3 linked regions of the Danio rerio genome follow. The protein of the gene in region 1 purifies or fractionates together with the protein of each later gene. This does not show direct contact. Links are inferred from orthologs where the notes say so. Each region holds a gene or a part of one and is shown on either strand. Other genes may lie near its edges.

Evidence for each region.
Region 2: the proteins of pomk (region 1) and tmem59 purify together in Homo sapiens (affinity purification with mass spectrometry; 3 studies listed by BioGRID and IntAct, with this or other methods). This does not show direct contact. The link is inferred for Danio rerio from reciprocal best matches to the Homo sapiens genes POMK and TMEM59.
Region 3: the proteins of pomk (region 1) and lrp6 purify together in Homo sapiens (affinity purification with mass spectrometry; 3 studies listed by BioGRID and IntAct, counting the BioPlex papers as one, with this or other methods). This does not show direct contact. The link is inferred for Danio rerio from reciprocal best matches to the Homo sapiens genes POMK and LRP6.

Annotation. Positions count from the first base shown.
Region 1 is NC_133188.1:9,976,367-9,983,251, reverse strand, and holds the end of pomk (protein O-mannose kinase), read right to left. Parts: intron 6,379-6,885; 5' UTR 6,365-6,378; coding exon 6,089-6,364; intron 2,806-6,088; coding exon 2,038-2,805; 3' UTR 1,652-2,037; downstream 1-1,651. UniProt on the Homo sapiens protein: Protein O-mannose kinase that specifically mediates phosphorylation at the 6-position of an O-mannose of the trisaccharide (N-acetylgalactosamine (GalNAc)-beta-1,3-N-acetylglucosamine (GlcNAc)-beta-1,4-mannose) to generate phosphorylated O-mannosyl trisaccharide (N-acetylgalactosamine-beta-1,3-N-acetylglucosamine-beta-1,4-(phosphate-6-)mannose).
Region 2 is NC_133177.1:29,952,413-29,958,090, forward strand, and holds part of tmem59 (transmembrane protein 59 precursor), read right to left. Parts: intron 5,543-5,678; coding exon 5,470-5,542; intron 3,771-5,469; coding exon 3,638-3,770; intron 3,540-3,637; coding exon 3,419-3,539; intron 1-3,418.
Region 3 is NC_133179.1:172,891-178,599, reverse strand, and holds the end of lrp6 (low-density lipoprotein receptor-related protein 6 precursor), read right to left. Parts: coding exon 5,622-5,709; intron 5,303-5,621; coding exon 5,166-5,302; intron 2,499-5,165; coding exon 2,401-2,498; intron 2,325-2,400; coding exon 2,021-2,324; downstream 1-2,020. UniProt on the Homo sapiens protein: Component of the Wnt-Fzd-LRP5-LRP6 complex that triggers beta-catenin signaling through inducing aggregation of receptor-ligand complexes into ribosome-sized signalosomes.

The DNA.
Region 1 (6,885 bases):
CCAGGTAAGACTTAAATCTGCAAGTGTGCAGTGTTTAAAACTGTTGATTCATTTATAAAAGAGTCAACTCGCAGTGCTTCAAATTAATCGTCTTGATAACGAGTCTTTAGCTGTGCTGGCGTGACAAGAATATGGAACTTGAGCCCCACCCATTTGTTGCACGTGCAATGCCGGGAAAATTTTAAAACCCCGGCCCCGCCCACAAACACAGTAGCCAAAAAAAAAAGGACACTGTAGCAGACGCCAGTTGAATCATGTCACGAAGACGCTGTGCTCTGAAGTGTGAGGGGAAAGTTAGTGTTATTTTCTCTACTCAAAGATGAAACAGTGAAGAGTCAGTGGTTGAGGTTTATTTTTGCAATAATACCTCAGCATTACAGCCCAGGCTTGTGCTGTATTCTTGTCATTTTTCTGACAAGTGCTTCAGCAATCTACACGCTTACAACAGCGGATTCATTGGCTGGTTGTTAAAAGAAGGATCAGAAAAGACTATTGATGTGTGGGACTTTGTCAGAGCTTAACAGGAACTTTATAGTACACAGTTCATGGACCAGTTTCTTCCTCCATTTCACAAGTGTAAGTAAATGCGATTCACTGCAATCCACTGGTGCATGTCGTTGCTATGGCCATCATGAGTTTTCCGGGATAAATAACAAAATGGGAGGGTGGCGGGAGATGGGTCTGAAATTACGGGAGACTACTGAGAAAAACGTGAGTGTTGGCAGGTATACTCACACATACACTCTGCACTCTGACTACTTCAATATTGTTGATAAGCCATGGTGGGCATTTCTCTCTGTCTTGCGCTAAACACTGTCAACCAATCACAACAGAGTACCATAGGACCAATCAGTGCAGATTAGCATCACGTTAGGGAGGGGTTTAGGTACAAATTAATTGCGAAATGTGAGTCGCTGGGATAATTAGGTAATAATAAATGCGTATTCTAAGACAATGAAAGTGTTATTTGACCTTGAATGCACATCAGCCTGTTGTTGGAGACCCCCCCTCCTTTTTAATGTATAATAGAGGCTCTTTAAATCTATTCTAGACAAACTCCGGGTCTGACAGAAGAACTTTTAGCTTAGCTTAGCATAGATCCTTGAATCAGATTAGACCATTAGCATCTCGCTCAAACAATTCCAAAGAGTTTTTCCAAGTAAAACTTGACTCTTGTGTAGTTAAAGTATGCACCAAGACCAGCTTGACATGGCTAGTAACTATACTCAAAGTCCCTTTAAGGCAGGTCATTTCACTCGGCGGACATCTTTCAATCGCCTCTAGAGAAGTATGCATAGGCATTCTGTTTGAATGGGTAAACATCAAATTCTCCAAAACTGCTAGCCAAGATTACGATTACATTACATACTATGAATAACCAATAAAATTAAACAGTAACTGTCCTTTTAGTTTCATTTATAAATGTCCATATCACACAATATTTGCAGAAACTCACATCTAGTCCAAGCCCCTCCCCTGGAGAATTGTCATTCTATACTGATCGCTGATTGGCTCATGTACTAAAAGGTGGGCTTTATTTGCCATATATCAATCACTGATTGGCTCCTGTACTAGAAGGCGGGGCTTCATTCGCCATATTGACTGTTTCACTTTTCCCATTCGAAAGTATACGAGTGACACGTCATGTGTATTCTATAATCTTTACTATACTCTCATTCTGGAGTAATAATCAAGGATTTTGGACTATTTGTTAGACCCAGAGATCAGCTGAACGGATTAAAATGATCAAACTCAACAGTTTAACTCTGAGTGACTTGAAAAATGAGCCTATTTGCCAAAGAGTCTTCCTTTAAATACGTCATAATTAATATAAAACAAAAAAAAGTATATTGTTTGCTTTCATAACTTAAATTATGGTCAATGTAACTGCATAGAGACTCAAAATGTGTGTGTGTGTGTGTTTTTTTTATAATCAGTGAGTGACCATTGACTTCTCAAAATTTCACAAGAACGCAAGCATGTGTGAAGTAAATGACTACAGAATTTTCACTTCTGGCCTTTTAATGATTCCTCTCACTACAGCATATCTCGAACTCTCTGCGACTGGCTCTCCATCATACTGTCATACACAGAGCGATACACACTCAGGACCTCGCGGGCCGTGGGCCTCATGTGAGCCTCCTTCCTCTTGCACTCGCTGTAAATCTGAAACAAGTGGAAGTGGATGACATCACCTCCCAAGACGTCCCCTAACAGGAAGCGTGTCACGTCAGGAATCTTCCAGATGTCCGTCTTTTCGTCGTACCCGGGCATGGCTTCATCTGAGAAGGAAAAATCCTCACCATAAGGCCACAACTGCTCAGGAGCAACGAAGTCCCCAGTGAGCTCATGATGCCCACATTTCACTCCTAACCCCCCCTTCTCCACCTCAGGCAGGGCGTCCAGGTCATTGGCCAACAGACGCATGTCAGAAGCGAGAAGAAACTGGCTGAGGGTTTTGTGCAGGTCGTTAGAGTCACACATTACTCTGATCCCCGCCGGACTGCTGTGCAAGTATGCCAGGAAGGCCACGTAGTCTATTGCCAGCTGTAGGCGAGTGTGCCAGGAGTTTCGCCAGCGATAGCGTTCTTGCGCGAGTGTGGTGTCGAGCGTCAGCACTGAACCAAGAGGGTGGTATTCAGTAACAAACACAGCGTCCTCTTCACACACACCTACCAGCGTCACCACGTGAGAGCTCTGCAAGGCACGAAGCATTGACAGTCCATGGAGGAAGTCATCTGCATACTGATCTGAAGACAGGACAGACAGCGCCACCTTCTGTCCTTGCCACTCTGACAGATAAACCTAGGAAAGAAAAGGCAAAAAGGGTAAATGTGACTGACAAGATTTGTGATTGTTGATTCATCGCAATTTAAGTCACGAAAATTGAAGGGTTAATTCACATGTCTTTGCAATAGCTTGAATTCTGACCTAACTCGCAATTCTGACTTTATAACTCGCAATTCTAACATTATGACTTGCAATTCTGACTTTAAAACTAAGAATTCTGACTTTAAAACTCGCAATTATGTCTTTATAACTAAGAATTCTGATTTAATAACTAAGAATTCTGTCATTTTTAAACTAAGAATTCTGAATTAATAACTAATAATTCTAACTTTATAACTCCCAATTCTGACTAAATAACTAAGAATTCTGACATTATAACTCGCAATTCTGACTTTATAACTTAAAATTCTGAATTTAAAACTCGCAATTCTGACTTTAAAACTAAGAATTCTGAATTAATAACTAATAATTTTGACTTTATAACTCGCAATTCTGACTTAATAACTAAGAATTCTGACATTATATCTCGCAATTCTGACTTAATAACTAAGAATTCTGACATTATAACTCGCAATTCTGACTTTATAACTCGCAATTCTGACTTTATAACTCCCAATTCTGACTTAATAACTAAGAATTCTGACATTATAACTCGCAATTTTGACTTTATAACTTAAAATTCTGAATTTAAAACTCGCAATTCTGACTTTAAAACTAAGAATTCTGACATTATATCTCGCAATTCTGACTTAATAACTAAGAATTCTGACATTATAACTCGCAATTCTGACTTTATAACTCCCAATTCTGACTTAATAACTAAGAATTCTGACATTATAACTCGCAATTTTGACTTTATAACTTAAAATTCTGAATTTAAAACTCGCAATTCTGACTTTAAAACTAAGAATTCTGACTTAATAACTAAGAATTCTGACATTATAACTCGCAATTCTGACTTAATAACTAAGAATTCTGACATTATAACTCGCAATTCTGACTTTATAACTTAAAATTCTGAATTTAAAACTTGCAATTCTGACTTTAAAACTAAGAATTCTGAATTAATAACTAATAATTTTGACTTTATAACTCGCAATTCGGACTGAATAACTAAGTATTCTGACATTGTAACTCGCAATTCTGACTTAATAACTCGCAATTCTGACTTTATAACTAACAATTGTGACTTAACTCTGAATTCTGACTTAAAAACTCAAAATGCTGATCTAATGACTCGCAATTCTGACTTGGTAACTAAGAATTCTAACTTTATAACTAAGAATTCTGACTATCACTCGCAATTCTGACTTAATAACTAATAGTTCTGACTTTATCACTCAGAATTCTGACTTTATTACACGCAATTCTGACTTTATAACTCGCAATTCTGACTTTATAACTCGCAATTCTGACTTAATAATATATATTTTTACTTTGGCTGCATAAGGGGCCGATTGAATGCGCCTTTGCGTTAAGAGCTGCATCTTTTGCACGCGGCTCATCCCAGAGCAGCAGTTTGTTTTGTCAAGACAACTACAGAGAACTTTTAAAGAGCTTGGTTTCTGCTACATTCATTCTTCCATGGCAGGGACCAAAATGCATCCCGCCACGGCTACATTACCCATTCAAAACATTCAGTTATTGTTGTTGTTGTTTTTTATTAGCGGATTATAATCGCATCAAAACGTATTAAAAGAGAAGTGGATAATAACAGCACAAACTTTTCTGTAACCGTATAGTGCTGTGCGCTATCTGTTTAACCATTTGGGGTTACGTGCTGACTGACCGACTGACAGGTGCATGATGCGTGAGGACAGCAAACACGCAGAAGCTTTCAGTTAAGATGAACACAGTTTCTATAGTTATACTTTATTTATAGATAAAGGTATTTGGCTCTGTATATAATCACTCTATCTTGCTGGAGTTTATAGCCGTTTCGCTTTACTTCAGGACGCATTAACACCGCTCTGATGGTCTAATCGCTGTTTTAAGTTATCCAGAGCTGTATGAATGTACAAATCTTGAATATCACAATATTATTAAATAATACAATTGTAACAACACAGACAGCAACACTTTTGCACAATCGATACCCAGCTGATTCAGTCGTTTCATAAGAGGACCGCGCTTCTTCTCTTCTTTTTTCCTTGTCAACATAAAGGCAGTGAGGTGCGCCTCACGTTTTTGGAATGAAAAAAGCACGTAGCTGTGGTCGGCCACTTGTTCAACTGCAAGACATACTTAACTTGCGGGACGATAACGTATAACCCGTGCTTACAGACACATTTGCCAAAGAAGCAAAATGGAAGAAGAATATTGCTGTTTGAAACAGACGTGTTGATGCCAAAAAAGCGCTGATGTTGACCTTGATATGCGTCATAAACGCAACAAATAGGCTTTACTTTTTATTTTACAGCTTATAAAGCATGTATGCACATTAATGCAATATCATATTTAAACAACAAAACTGTTTACAAAAAGTCAGCATATGCGCATGTTGTTGTTGTCTTTTCACCACGCAGCGTGCACACTTGAACCGCGATGGAGAGAAAGGAAACCATAGCCTATATCAAGACATAATCTTTAAAATAATGATTCTATTAAAAATGTAAAAATGTTTTGTGATATAATAATAACAGCGGGGCATTAAATAAATGCATAAATGCATAGTCAGCTATTTTATTTGACGGAAGACAAAAATATGATTGGAAAAAAACAGCCTATGCCGGTTATTAAAAAGAATCAGTCAGTGTTTTCGATTTGTAATATAAATTAATTATTTAAGTGGAAAATAATTTAGGGCAGTCCTATTTATTTTATTTAGTTTATTATGTTCTTCTGTGCTAAACACTGCAGGTGCGTGAAAATGCTCTGTTGTATTGTTCTATTATTAATATGCTAGCATAAAAAAATAAATCAGTATTTTAAAATGCAATATTTAATGTGTCGGACACAAAATAGACACGTCAATTTGTTTAATATAAAATTAATAGTAATCTGACCAGTAAACCGTTAATAACCGATTAATGAGCGGCGGTTGTCGGTTAGCAAAATTAACCGAAATGAGCATTCCTATTATTTACTTAATTTTTTATTCCGTGGCAGTAACTGAATGAACTGCGTCCATTCTAATCTCATTTAAAATATACATTGTAATAAAATATGTCAAGTCAAAAATGAGTCTCTCTTCCCCTTTCAATAAATATGAATGTGTAAGTTTAGCTGCATCCCTAATTTGATTTTAACTGATTATCAAAATAAACATTTGTTGCAGAACCAATCTCACCAAACTCACCTTCTTCACAGCTCCTTGTCCAATGAGCTTCACACGGCGAACCCCAGAGCGGATTTCTGGACACTTTAACCAAGGGCTGCAGGAGCTCATAGTGCCCACTTTAAAGTGGCGAGGAGGACATTGTGTGTGTGCTGACGGAGGGTTTGTGTTCTGATACAGGGCATCCAGGTAGAAATAGAGCAGCACATTGGCGCACAGCAGAGCTCCTAGACACAGCAAAACAGCAGGAACTCCACACCTCACCCCAATGACGCCACCGACAGCAGTGCCACCCATAATGACATCTTAACCTGTTGATTAACACACACGAAGATGAGAGTTTTTAAATTCATTTCACTAATATTATTGTGATACAATAATAATACTAATATTAAAATGTTCATAAGATTTATTTAAAATACAGTTTTTAAAGTAATATTTTCTGTCCTTTAGTAAATATGTTATATGAAACTTGCTTTGTTAACCAAATAAGTGGATCTAATTGAATTTACATAGTAAACATTAAATAAAAGTTAAAAATGTATTATTGTTTTAGTTTTTAGTTGATACTCCTAAAATCATTCCACATAAATCCGCAGATTTTTTTTTTTACAAAATCCCCTGCAGAAATAGCAAAACATGTCCCCAGATTCTGTCTGGCCCTACTAATTACCCTAACTTATTTAAGCCTTTAGCTGTTAGTGTTAAAGCACTTTAAGCTGAATACTAGTATCTTAAAAAATATCAATATAGTGTGCTGTGAACACAGCAGAGACAAAAGAAATCAGTTATTAAAACTATCATGTTTGGTAATGTGT
Region 2 (5,678 bases), on another chromosome or scaffold:
CTAAGTGTTCGTTAAGTAAAATGACATGCTAAGCCATTTCAGATATATCGCAATCTGATAATGTGTTCCACAATGGATTCAATGCAACACAACATAGCTCAATGTAACAACATTACGTAACAAAAACAGAGCAATTCAACAATGCAATGTAACAACCTAACATAAGCTAACCTAGTAACATAAGGTAAAACTGTAAAAAGGAAATGTAGTAACTCAAGAAAATGTAACATAAGGTAACGTAGCATAAGGAAACGTAACCTAGGCTAACAGGGTAACGTAACATAAGGTAATGTAACAAGGAAACGCAACATTAGGTAACGTAACGTAAGGAATTGTAACAAAGAAATATAAGTAATGTAACATTGAAAACATAAGGAAAATTAGCGAGGAAAAGTTGTAACCTACGATAACGTAACATAAGGAAATGTAACAAGGTAATACAACATAAGGTAACATAACAAGGAAACGTAACAACGTAACAACATTAAAAAACGAAACAAAGTGTAATGTAGCATATGGTAACGTAACATATGGAAACAACATAAGCAAGCGTTACATAAGGAAACGTAACAAGGAAATGTAACATGAGGAAAAGTTGTAACAAACAATAATGTAACAAGGAAACATAACATAAGGAAAAGTTGTAACACAATAACGTAATGTAATAACATAATAAAGGTATTGTAACAAAGAAACATTACAAGGAAATGTAACAAAGTTACGTAGCATTAAAAAATGTAACAAGGTAACATAAGAAAACGTAACAAGGAAACATTACAAGGAAACGTAACAAAGAAAAGTTGTAACATACGATAACGTAACATACGGTAACGTAACAAGGACATATTGGAACAAGGTAACATAACATAAGGACACGTTGCAACAAGGGAACTTAACAAGGAAACATTGTATCAAGGAAACGTAACAAGGAAACATAACAAGGAAAAGTTGTAACATGATAACGTAACATAAGGTAGTGTAACAAGGAAACGTAACAAAAGGAAACATATCAAAGTTACGTAACATTAGAAAACGTAACAAGGTAACGTAACAAGGAAAAGTTGTAACATCTTAACCTAACATACAGTAACGTAACAAGGAAACATTGTAACATGGTAACAACATAAGGAAACGTTGCAACAAGGTAACATAACATAAGGTAACGTAACAAGAAAATGTAACATAAGGAAAAGTTGTAACATATGATAACGTAACATACGGTAACGTAACAAGAAAACATTGTAACACGGTAACATAACATAAGGAAACATTGTAACAAGGAAACGTAACATAAGGTAAATCTGACAAAGTAATAAAACATAAGGTAACTTAATAAGGAAACGTAACATAAGGAAACATAACATTAGAAAATGTAACATAAGGAAGAGTTGTAACATACGATAACCTAGCAAGGTAACGTAACAAGGAAACAAAACAAAAGAATATAATGCAATTGAACACAATGTATTGCAACGTAACAATGTAATGCTACACAATTCAACAATGTAATGTAACGCAACAATATAATGCAACACTATGCAATGCAATATAACACAGCAACCCTGGACAGTAACGTAATGCCCATTCTGTTATTCCAAACATAGAATCAGAGTTTCAAATAAACTCGTATGTGCTTAAGCTTCATTTTACCCTCGAATCTGCTGTAAATGTTTTGCACAAATAGACAAACCAGAAGAATTTAGGCGCCGTTTACACTAGTGCGTTTTAGTTTTAAAACAGCGTTTTAGAATGAAAACGATCCGCGTCCACAATCGCGTTTTACCCAGCGTTTCTGAACTGCTCTCCGTCCTGAAAACGCACATCACGTGACCACACAGACACTCTCTGGCAAGCGCTGCAGCTCATCTACCCAGATGAGAGCTCTGCTAGTCGGACTTCTCATCAAGCATCTACCGCTGGATCTAATATCTCACTATATTTATTAAACGAGATATTTCATTCATCTTGTTGTCTTTATCTAACGACATATTCCCTGACTTTGGTCATTAGAATCTTACTTTTTCTCAGGTAACGTGTTTTGGCTGAGCGCAAAGATAAGTTAATGATTGATGAAACAACGTAGCCTATTCTGTAAATTGACTGATCGCTTGCCTTTATTTCCTATAATGTATAAACTTATTGTATGTTATACTTTTATAATGGCCATTATCGATTATTAAAACTGATATTTAGCAAAAGAGAGGGTGTGTTTCGTATTTTCACTGAAATTGAAAGGAGGCAGTTGTTATCGGCTCCGTTTTGTTATAAATATCCACACAGTGAAGATGACGCTCATATATACAGCACGGCGCCTCAACATTTCTGCAGTCTGTTAAGTTGTTAATATTAAAATAAAAATAGGCAGTTCCTTAAATCATGTATACAATTTATTGTTGAGAAAGTGAAACAACGTAGCCAGGGTGATGTGAATGAAGTTATAAAGTACACTGTTCCCTTTGAAGATTTACCCGTGTCCTCGGTATAGTCTGTTTTCCATATCAAACTGAGAAGAAGAGACTGCAGCCTTGATCAAACTTGCGAAGTCTGAACTTACAAGGAGAAAATGCAGGACTGAACTGTGTGTGTTAGGCTACTTAATATTCAGGAAAAGCCCCAATCAGAGAGGCGAATGTCAGCAGCCCCGTCTCCGTTTTCAGATGTCTCCGTTTTCCATTATCCACACTGAGACGGAGCAGCAGCGTTTCAGAATGAAAACGGCCTCTCCAGCGTTTTCGAAACGCTCCGTTTTCGGCGCTCGAGAACTCCGGCGTAGTGTGGACGGTTGGCGTAACCGTAGCAAAACTTATGCGTTTTCAAACTAAAACGCATTAGTGTAAACGGGGCCTTAGACAACTTTTTTCACATCATCAGTATGGAAAACTGAAATAAAATCTGACAAGAACCTAAAACTTTGTCTGAACAAATTCATCCAGATAATGTCAGATAACTTTGATCGAAATGTAATGCATTGCAATCAGCCAAGAGTAATTCAGACAACTACCAATACTTTGTTGTTCCTCAAAGACAGCCTGCAGTCTTTGCTGTCAACTAGATTCATGCAAACCCGAACTTCAACATTTTCTCAGACTCGCTTTTCTCATTTCTCTTCACTTCCTGTTGCTATTTATTCCACTCTATGAATTCTATCCTCGCTTACATGAATCAACTGTAGGGCCCTGCACCGACTAGTAAAAACATAAAAAATGAGAGCTGGTGTCAGAAATATTTTTGAGTTGACTAAGCCACAAACTCCTCTGAATTATTTACATTATTGACATATTATGCTTAACCAACCATCCATTAGATGTTGTATTATCAATTAATCAATCATCAAAGTTTCCCTTGTTTCGTTCCTAGTTTAGATACAAACAGAGAAATTGCACCAGAGTCCATTTGAATCCAATCAAAAGCATTTTACCTCAGCAGGGACGTATTGCTCTGCAGCAGTGGACACTGTGGCACAACAGATCCAGATCAGAACCAGCACAGACAGAATCAGAGTGGTGGTCAAGATCCAGCCGGGCAGCCACGGGTTTCTGCTGCACACAAGATCAAGAGGGTTTAGCTTCAACAAGAACAACAGACTGCAATCATTAATAAGAGTTCAGAAAATCCAAATGGAGAAGAAGAGGCCAACCTTGAGAGACAGCCGAAGAGATTGCAGTCGTCCTCAGAGCCACTTCTGTCCATGAACATGTCTCTGTCTCTCTCCTGAATGAAGCTCCGAGGGTAGTCTTTATAAATGGGGTTTTTCGCTCCCTCATCTATAACTGTTAAAAACACAGCGGGTCAGTTTTGTGATCCTGAAACACTTCTTTGGAGAATGATGCTAAGAATGTGTAGACAAAAGGTGACAGGTTTTAGTGCTCCAGTTATTCATTTACATATTTAATAACATCACGTTTAGGGGTGTGCAAATATGTATCGTCTATGATCCTTTTGTAATGGATGTTTTAACGATATGCAAACTGACATATAAAGCGTCTTTTATTTAGTGAAAAACAAAGTACTAAAACATTCACTGTGTGAGGAAGCCCAAGCTAAATTACTCTATAAATCCAGTTCTCAAAGCAAAATTATCTCTGGATAATGTCATTTTTACACAAGCCGGAATATTAGTGCAGTCGCAAGTTGTTATAATTTTTAAAATAAGTTATTTTTATAGAGTACCAGTACTGTCTGTTTCTTTCTGTTTTATCAAAAAGAATCATTAGAATAAAAGCCGAAGCAGAACATTTGTGCATTTCAGAACAAATCTTAGATTTTGAGAATCTACAGTTACCAAAACCCGATCCGATACTTCTATGATACGTTAATAAAAGAATAGCAAAGAAAAATTTCCAGGACGCTTCTTATTTTTTTTATTTAATTCATCTTATTTTAAACCTTCAACAACTCTGTTAACAAACAGCACTTCTGTGAGGTAGCTTGAACAATTCTTCACTTCTATATTTTAGTGCAGCAGTAAATATATAATAAAAAAATCTAATATAAGCACAAATAGCACCTCAACTTAAAATACCCGGCAAGCTGCAGGCAATCCCAAGTTTACAGATTTTACAGTTTGCAATGGCCATGTTGTCATCATCAACTTTATAATACCTCCAGAACGCAGACATACTCGCACTTTCCACTTCAAGCTGCTTCCGTGTTCTACTTTGCTGCCGGCATTTAACCAATAGCGTCTCTGCAACAAAATGATGTCACGCCCCACGCGTTGCTGCTTCAGGGTGAAGTTACGAAAGAGGTCTAACTCTGTGCCACAGCATAACTATAGATGTATTAAAAAAATAATGACATACATATACATACAGTTGAAGTCAGAATTATTAGCTCCCCTGAATTATTAACCCTGTTTATTTTTTCCCCCCCAATTTCTGTTTAACGGAGAGAAGATTTTATCAACACATTTCTAAACATAATAGTTTTAATAACTCATCTCTAATAACTGATTTATTTTATCTTTGCCATGATGATAATACATAATATTTTACTAGATGTTTTTCAAGACACTTCAAAACAGCTTAAAGTGACATTTAAAGGCTTAACGAGGTTAATTAGGTCAACTAGGCAGGTTAGGGTAATTAGGCAAGTTATTGTATAACGATGGTTTGTTCTTTAGACAATCAAAAAAATATATAGCTAAAGGAGGCTAATAATTTTGCCCCTAAAATGGTGTTATAATAAAAATTAAAAACTGTTTTATTCTAGTCGAAATAAAACAAATAAGACTTTCTCCAGATGAACAAAATATTATCAGACATACTGTGAACATTTCCCTGCTCTGACTTCAACTCTAAATATAATTCTATATTTATTTGAGTCCTAATTTTGAGGTAACGTCCGATTCCGATCAAATCTAAAACCGCGTGATTGGGCCCGATTTCCGATCACGTGATCAGATCTTGACATCCCTAATGGCAATCATTAATGTTAAAGACTGAAAACATGTGTGATGCAAGTGCTTACAAGTGTTCTGTGGCTCCTCTGTCTCGTCTCTCTGGAACTCAAACTGAGAGATATACTGGACTTGCGGCTCAGACTTGAAATGACAGAAAGAACAAATCCTGATTTGATATTTTCTTTTCCCAGACATAGGCATGAAAATTAACTTTCTATTAATTATTTTAGATCAAACTTATTTCAGTTTGATTTCAATGTAAAATAAAACTAATGTT
Region 3 (5,709 bases), on another chromosome or scaffold:
CACACACACACACGGGTTGCCAGATTGACAGAAGTGAGCTTGACTATGGAGCCTAAGGCTGATTTATACAGTGTTGTCAATAAAACCAACGAGACTCAATAGAAGGAACGTGTCCCACATTAAAATGAGTTTCAATCCAAAGCAACAGCTCAAATGAATATCTATTAAACATGTACAGTTCCTCACAGCAGAACACTGATCAGCTCAGCTCATGTGCTGTGTTCAGTGTTGACCGCTGATAATGTGAGTCTGACATGTATCAGCACACTACTGACAGCAGAGTTCAGCTCAGATCTGGAGAACACACAGTACAGCTGACTGACTGAATAATTAAACCAAGGCAACCCGGGCGCTGAAATATAATTGGCTACACTGGCAGTGGGCGGGTTAAAGAGACCAAAACACAGACAGACGCTCAGTAACACACATATGAATATGTGACTGTGTTTCAGATAAAGGTGAATGTTCACTGAGCATGTTTCTGAATATCTGCACACACATGATGCTGGTGTCATGCTTCAGTAGACACACACACTCACACACAGCAGCTTTAATCCTCAACTGTACTAATCAGAGCTCAACAGTACTGTACATGATCACGCACGCACACACACGCACGCACACACACACACACACACACACACACGGAGGAAAAGTTCACTTAGTTTATTTAAAAAAACAAAAACAAGATCATCTGAATCATTACAACAGCTTATAGACCAGAGGAGGAGCGACGAGGAGCTGTACACACACACACACACACACACACACACACACACACACTAACAACAACTGGACATCATGGAGAAGCAGACTGATGAGGAGCAGACGATGATTAACACACACGCACGCACACACACACACACACACACACACACACACAGTGAGGATGCACCGCTCCTGTAAAGTGCAGAAGATGAGTCGCTGGTGTGAGCAGAACCACAGGAACACAGAGCATGGCATTACCCAGAAGCCCTTGCAGAGCAGGCCAGTAAAGAGCGGGAGATTTGGAGAAGCAGTTACTGACACACACACACACACACGCACACACAAGTTTAGTGATAAAGTGAAGGCACAGACATGCGTAACCAAACACCCAGAGCAAGACTGGTGCATGCTGGGTAATGTGGGGGAGGGGGGGGGGGGTCTGTGCTGGTGAGTTTCCCTTTATGAACACTCAGAGGATCCAGAAGTGCTACAAACACACACACACACACACACACACACACACACACACACACACACACACACACACACACACACACACACACACACACACACCAATGCATTATGGGAAATCTAAAGCTTAGACCGGAGCTCTCTCTCACACATACACACACACACACACACACACACACACACACACACACACACACACACACACACACACACGTGCGCGGCTGCTCGTCCTCTGATAGCTTATAAATACAGGATATGTACAGTGTGCGGTATAAAAATAGCAGAGCTCTTCTGGCACTCATGTAGAAAAGTGGAAAACGGCGGCAAGAGTGTGTGTGTGTGTGTGTGTGTGTGTGTGTGTGTGTGTGTGTGTGTGTGTGTGTGTGTGTGTGTGTGTGTGTGTGTGTAACCGCTCAGGCACGAGTCGCCGCCGTGATTGTGTGTTACGCCAGCAGGTGGGCGGGAGGTGTGTGCTGATTGGCTCCTCCTCGTCTCTCATATAAAACAGTATAAAAATAAGCGCGCCGCCGCGTCACAGTGTAGAGCCTGCAGGGGGCGCCGCCGCGCGGCTCAGGAACTATTTGGCATGGACACCACACGCGTGTGAGTCAGATTAAGGCAGCGTGTGCGTGTGTGTGTGTGTGTGTGGGTCTGATAAATCTCTCTTCATCAGTGTCCACGTGTGGGTAACCGCGGCAACACTGTATAGAAATATATAAATATGCTCTTCTCTTACTGTACAGCGCCGCCAGAGCCCTCAGCTGTCCTTCAGCGAGACACAGTCACTTATATATATGTACAGAGGCAGTGGGGGCGGGGCCTGGCGCGCAGGGGGCGGGGCTCAGGAGGAGTCTGTGCAGGGCGAGGGCGGCGGCGGGTACAGCTGGTGCGAGTAGCTGCGCTCGGTGTACGGTGACGGCGGGCAGCTCTCGCAGTTCTCCTCCGCCGACAGGTACTGGCTGCGCGGCGTGGGCGGCGGCGGCAGCGGCTCCGAGTCGTAGTTCAGGTCGCTAGCGTAGCCTTTAGCAGCAGTGGCGCTGGATGCGTGCGGAGCCCGGCGGCCCGGCGTATAGTCACTGTCGCACACATCCGTGCTGCACGGCGTCGTCGGAGGAGCGAAGTGGCGGTAACTGTACGGCCGATAGCTGCACAACACACACATTAGCATGTTAGCATACAGAGGTTTAGCATTAAACGCGTGATGGGCAGAGGACATGTTACCTGTAGGAGCGGTGTGTTGACGGGCTGTTGGAGGAGTAGCCGAACTCCATGGTGTACTGAGACCTGACGGTGGCTGGAGATGGAGGAGGGTTCAGGATCTGCAGAACAGCAGAGACATTACACATACATCATCAACTCACTGTGTGTTATAGAGAGAGCCTCACACAGCTGAGTGGAGCTGACAAACCACCTGCAGGAACACTTCTCCATAACACCGCCTTCCCTATCCCTGAACACTAGAGGCCCGCTTCACTGAGTGCTGCAGGTCCGGTCAGATCAGGTCAGGACACTCTCATGGCCATTCCCACTGTCAGACGGTGCCTAACATTGAGTTCACACTGCAGGATTTAAACCCGATTGAGCCTGATTTGGAAGTTACCTTGCTCTCCGACAGATCGGCTGTGATTGGGGAAAATCTACAGGTGCTCAGCGCTCGGCAGTGTTTATGTGTGAACTACTGAACAATGCATCTAAGAGGCTCGCTGAAGCGTCACCGACACCTCACAGATGTAAATTTAATAATCTAGCATGCTGAATATTCCAGAACAGTCGGCCGACTCCACCCCACGCATGGTCAGATGTAGTGACGAGCCGCAGCCAATGAGAGAGCAGATCAGCATGTGCTGACTGGCCATGGTGCTCAGGAGCTCAACAGAAACGTCTGTGATTGGCCAGAACGGGCATCGATGCGCTCGCTTCATTCTGCATTAACAGACACGAGAGTGGGCTATATTAACAGCAGAACTATTAGATTACCACACTGCTCATCCTGACCGTTCCCACATGAGACGTCATATTTACATTTAAAGCTTCTATTGAGGTATTAAAGTAAGCTGTCTTGAATGTCTGTCATCATATTTCATGACAGCATTACACTGAAAGTATGATCTGTTCTGGTAATGCAGACTATTAATATGAAGAGATTGAGGTGAACACAGAACACCAGTGTCCATCTGCAGCTCCTTCACCAGACTCCACACTCATACACACTCGTACACACTCGTACACACTCGTACACACTCGTACACACTCGTACACACTCGTACACACTCGTACACACTCGTACACACTCGTACACACCAGGGCTCGAAATTGCGACCATTTTGGTCACATATGCACCCGAAAATTAATCTATGCGACCTCATAATATATATGGAGCATTAGTGCGACTGCAGATAATAGTTGTAGTGCGACCTGTTTTGATTTTTTGTAAAAACGTGCTGAATCGCTCTTCTCTGCCGCTATATTGGTTCATATTAGCTGTCAATCACTCAAGGTATTCCGCTGTCAGATGACAGGGAAGGAGCTTTTATGACCACGGGAAATGCAAATGGCTGAATATTGAAAACTTAAAGCGCACAGGTTTGCAAACCCCACCTAAAGTTGAGGCGCAGATGAGAGCGATCATGACACGTCACGTGGTGAATATTGATCCGCCAGCTGAGATCAATCGAGTATGCGCTTCTTGGAGAAGGTGCCCGAATCTCGATGCGTTCCGTTCACTGCGTGTTCAGCGCAAATGTCCGCTAAAAGTCAAATCTAATACTGTACATATCATCGCCAAAGAAGCTCGCCTTTACTAAGTTTACACTGAAACTGCGGCTCATAACAAAGACCGGTATTGCGCCGAAGGTTAGCGCAAGAATCCTGCTCTGCCTGCTCATAAATTGGGTCGGCTGACTCGCCTGCTTTTCCACTAACACAGAAAAATGAAGATCAGCTCAGACTGAACCTTTAAATTGACACAAACTGAAACCAAAACTTTTAAAGAGTGATAGAAGTGAGACTTTACTTACTTTCTTTTGTCTATTCTTGTTTGAGGTGTATATTATTTTTTTATTTATTTACTGATGACTGCTTTGCAGCTTTCATCATTGAATTGAATGATTTATTATAATCTTTTGTTTGTTTTGTAGCAGAAATATTATTTATTAAATTGACATGCATATAAAAACAGCAGCACAAAATAAATATTTCTTACTGCAATGCTTCATTTTGGTTTGATGCAAACTATACAATTATTTTTCATAAAGTAACAGACTTTTTATAGCAGATAACCTACATTCATGCACATTCAAGGCAGCATCATAATGAGAAATGTTATTCATTGTTACTATTATTGTCATTTTCATCATCATTAATATTCTATGGCCTAATTATTAGACATTCATTTTGGAATTATTGCACACAAATATCAAAGTCTTCGCAGCATTAGTTAGATAGCTGTTTCTGGTTTTTGTCAGTCCTATTGATGTTGTTTTAAAATACAATAAATCCCTTAAAAAACAATTTGCAGCGGTGCTCATTCATTTTTGGTGGTGCTCCTAAATTTTTTCTGGTGCTCCTAAATATTTGAAGTTGGGAGCACCGGTGCTACCAAGTAAAAAAGTCAATTTCGAGCCCTGCACACTCATACACACTCATACACACTCATACACACTCGTACACACTCATACACACTCACGCCATCAGGCCCACTCTCCTCACAGACACACAGCTTGTGATGTCGTTGCGATATGTACTTATATTTCTGAGCATCATCAGCCACGGCGAGGGCTGTGTGAGCATGCGCAGGCTGCATCGGAGCACACACACACACACACACACACACACACACACACACACGGGCACTTGAGGCAAATCAGCCTTAATGTGGAAGGGGGACATCACGGGCACAGTAACAGCTCTGGCAGAAGTACTGAAACAGCTGTGTGTGTGTGTGTGTGTGTGTGTGTGTGTGTGTGTGTGTGTGTGTGTGTGTGTACCGGAGGGAAATATGCTCCTTTAGTGCTGGACGAGCTGCTGGACGAGGCTCCGGTCACATGAGCGCGGTCGTACGGTGGTCCACTGCTGCCTCCCATGATGCTCAGCGAGCCCATGACTGACTTCCCTCTGGACATGCCTGAACACACACACACACACACACACACACAAACACACACACACTTTAATTATTCATGTTTATTGTTCATGAACACACACAAATAACAATAAAACACTCAGAAATAATCATATTAATCTCACACACACACACACACACACACACACACACTAGTATCTCACACACACACACACACTAGTATCTCACACACACACAAGCATCTTACACACACACACACACACAAGCATCTCACACACACACTAGTATCTCACACACACACTAGTATCTCACACACACACACACACGCTTCTCGTCAGTGTGAGTGTTGTTGGAGCTCCACCTGGCAGTGATCCGCTCAGGGATGCGGGGTGTGGGACGTATCCCAGCGGCACCGGCGGCGGTCCGTGAACCACGAAGTCATTGGTCAT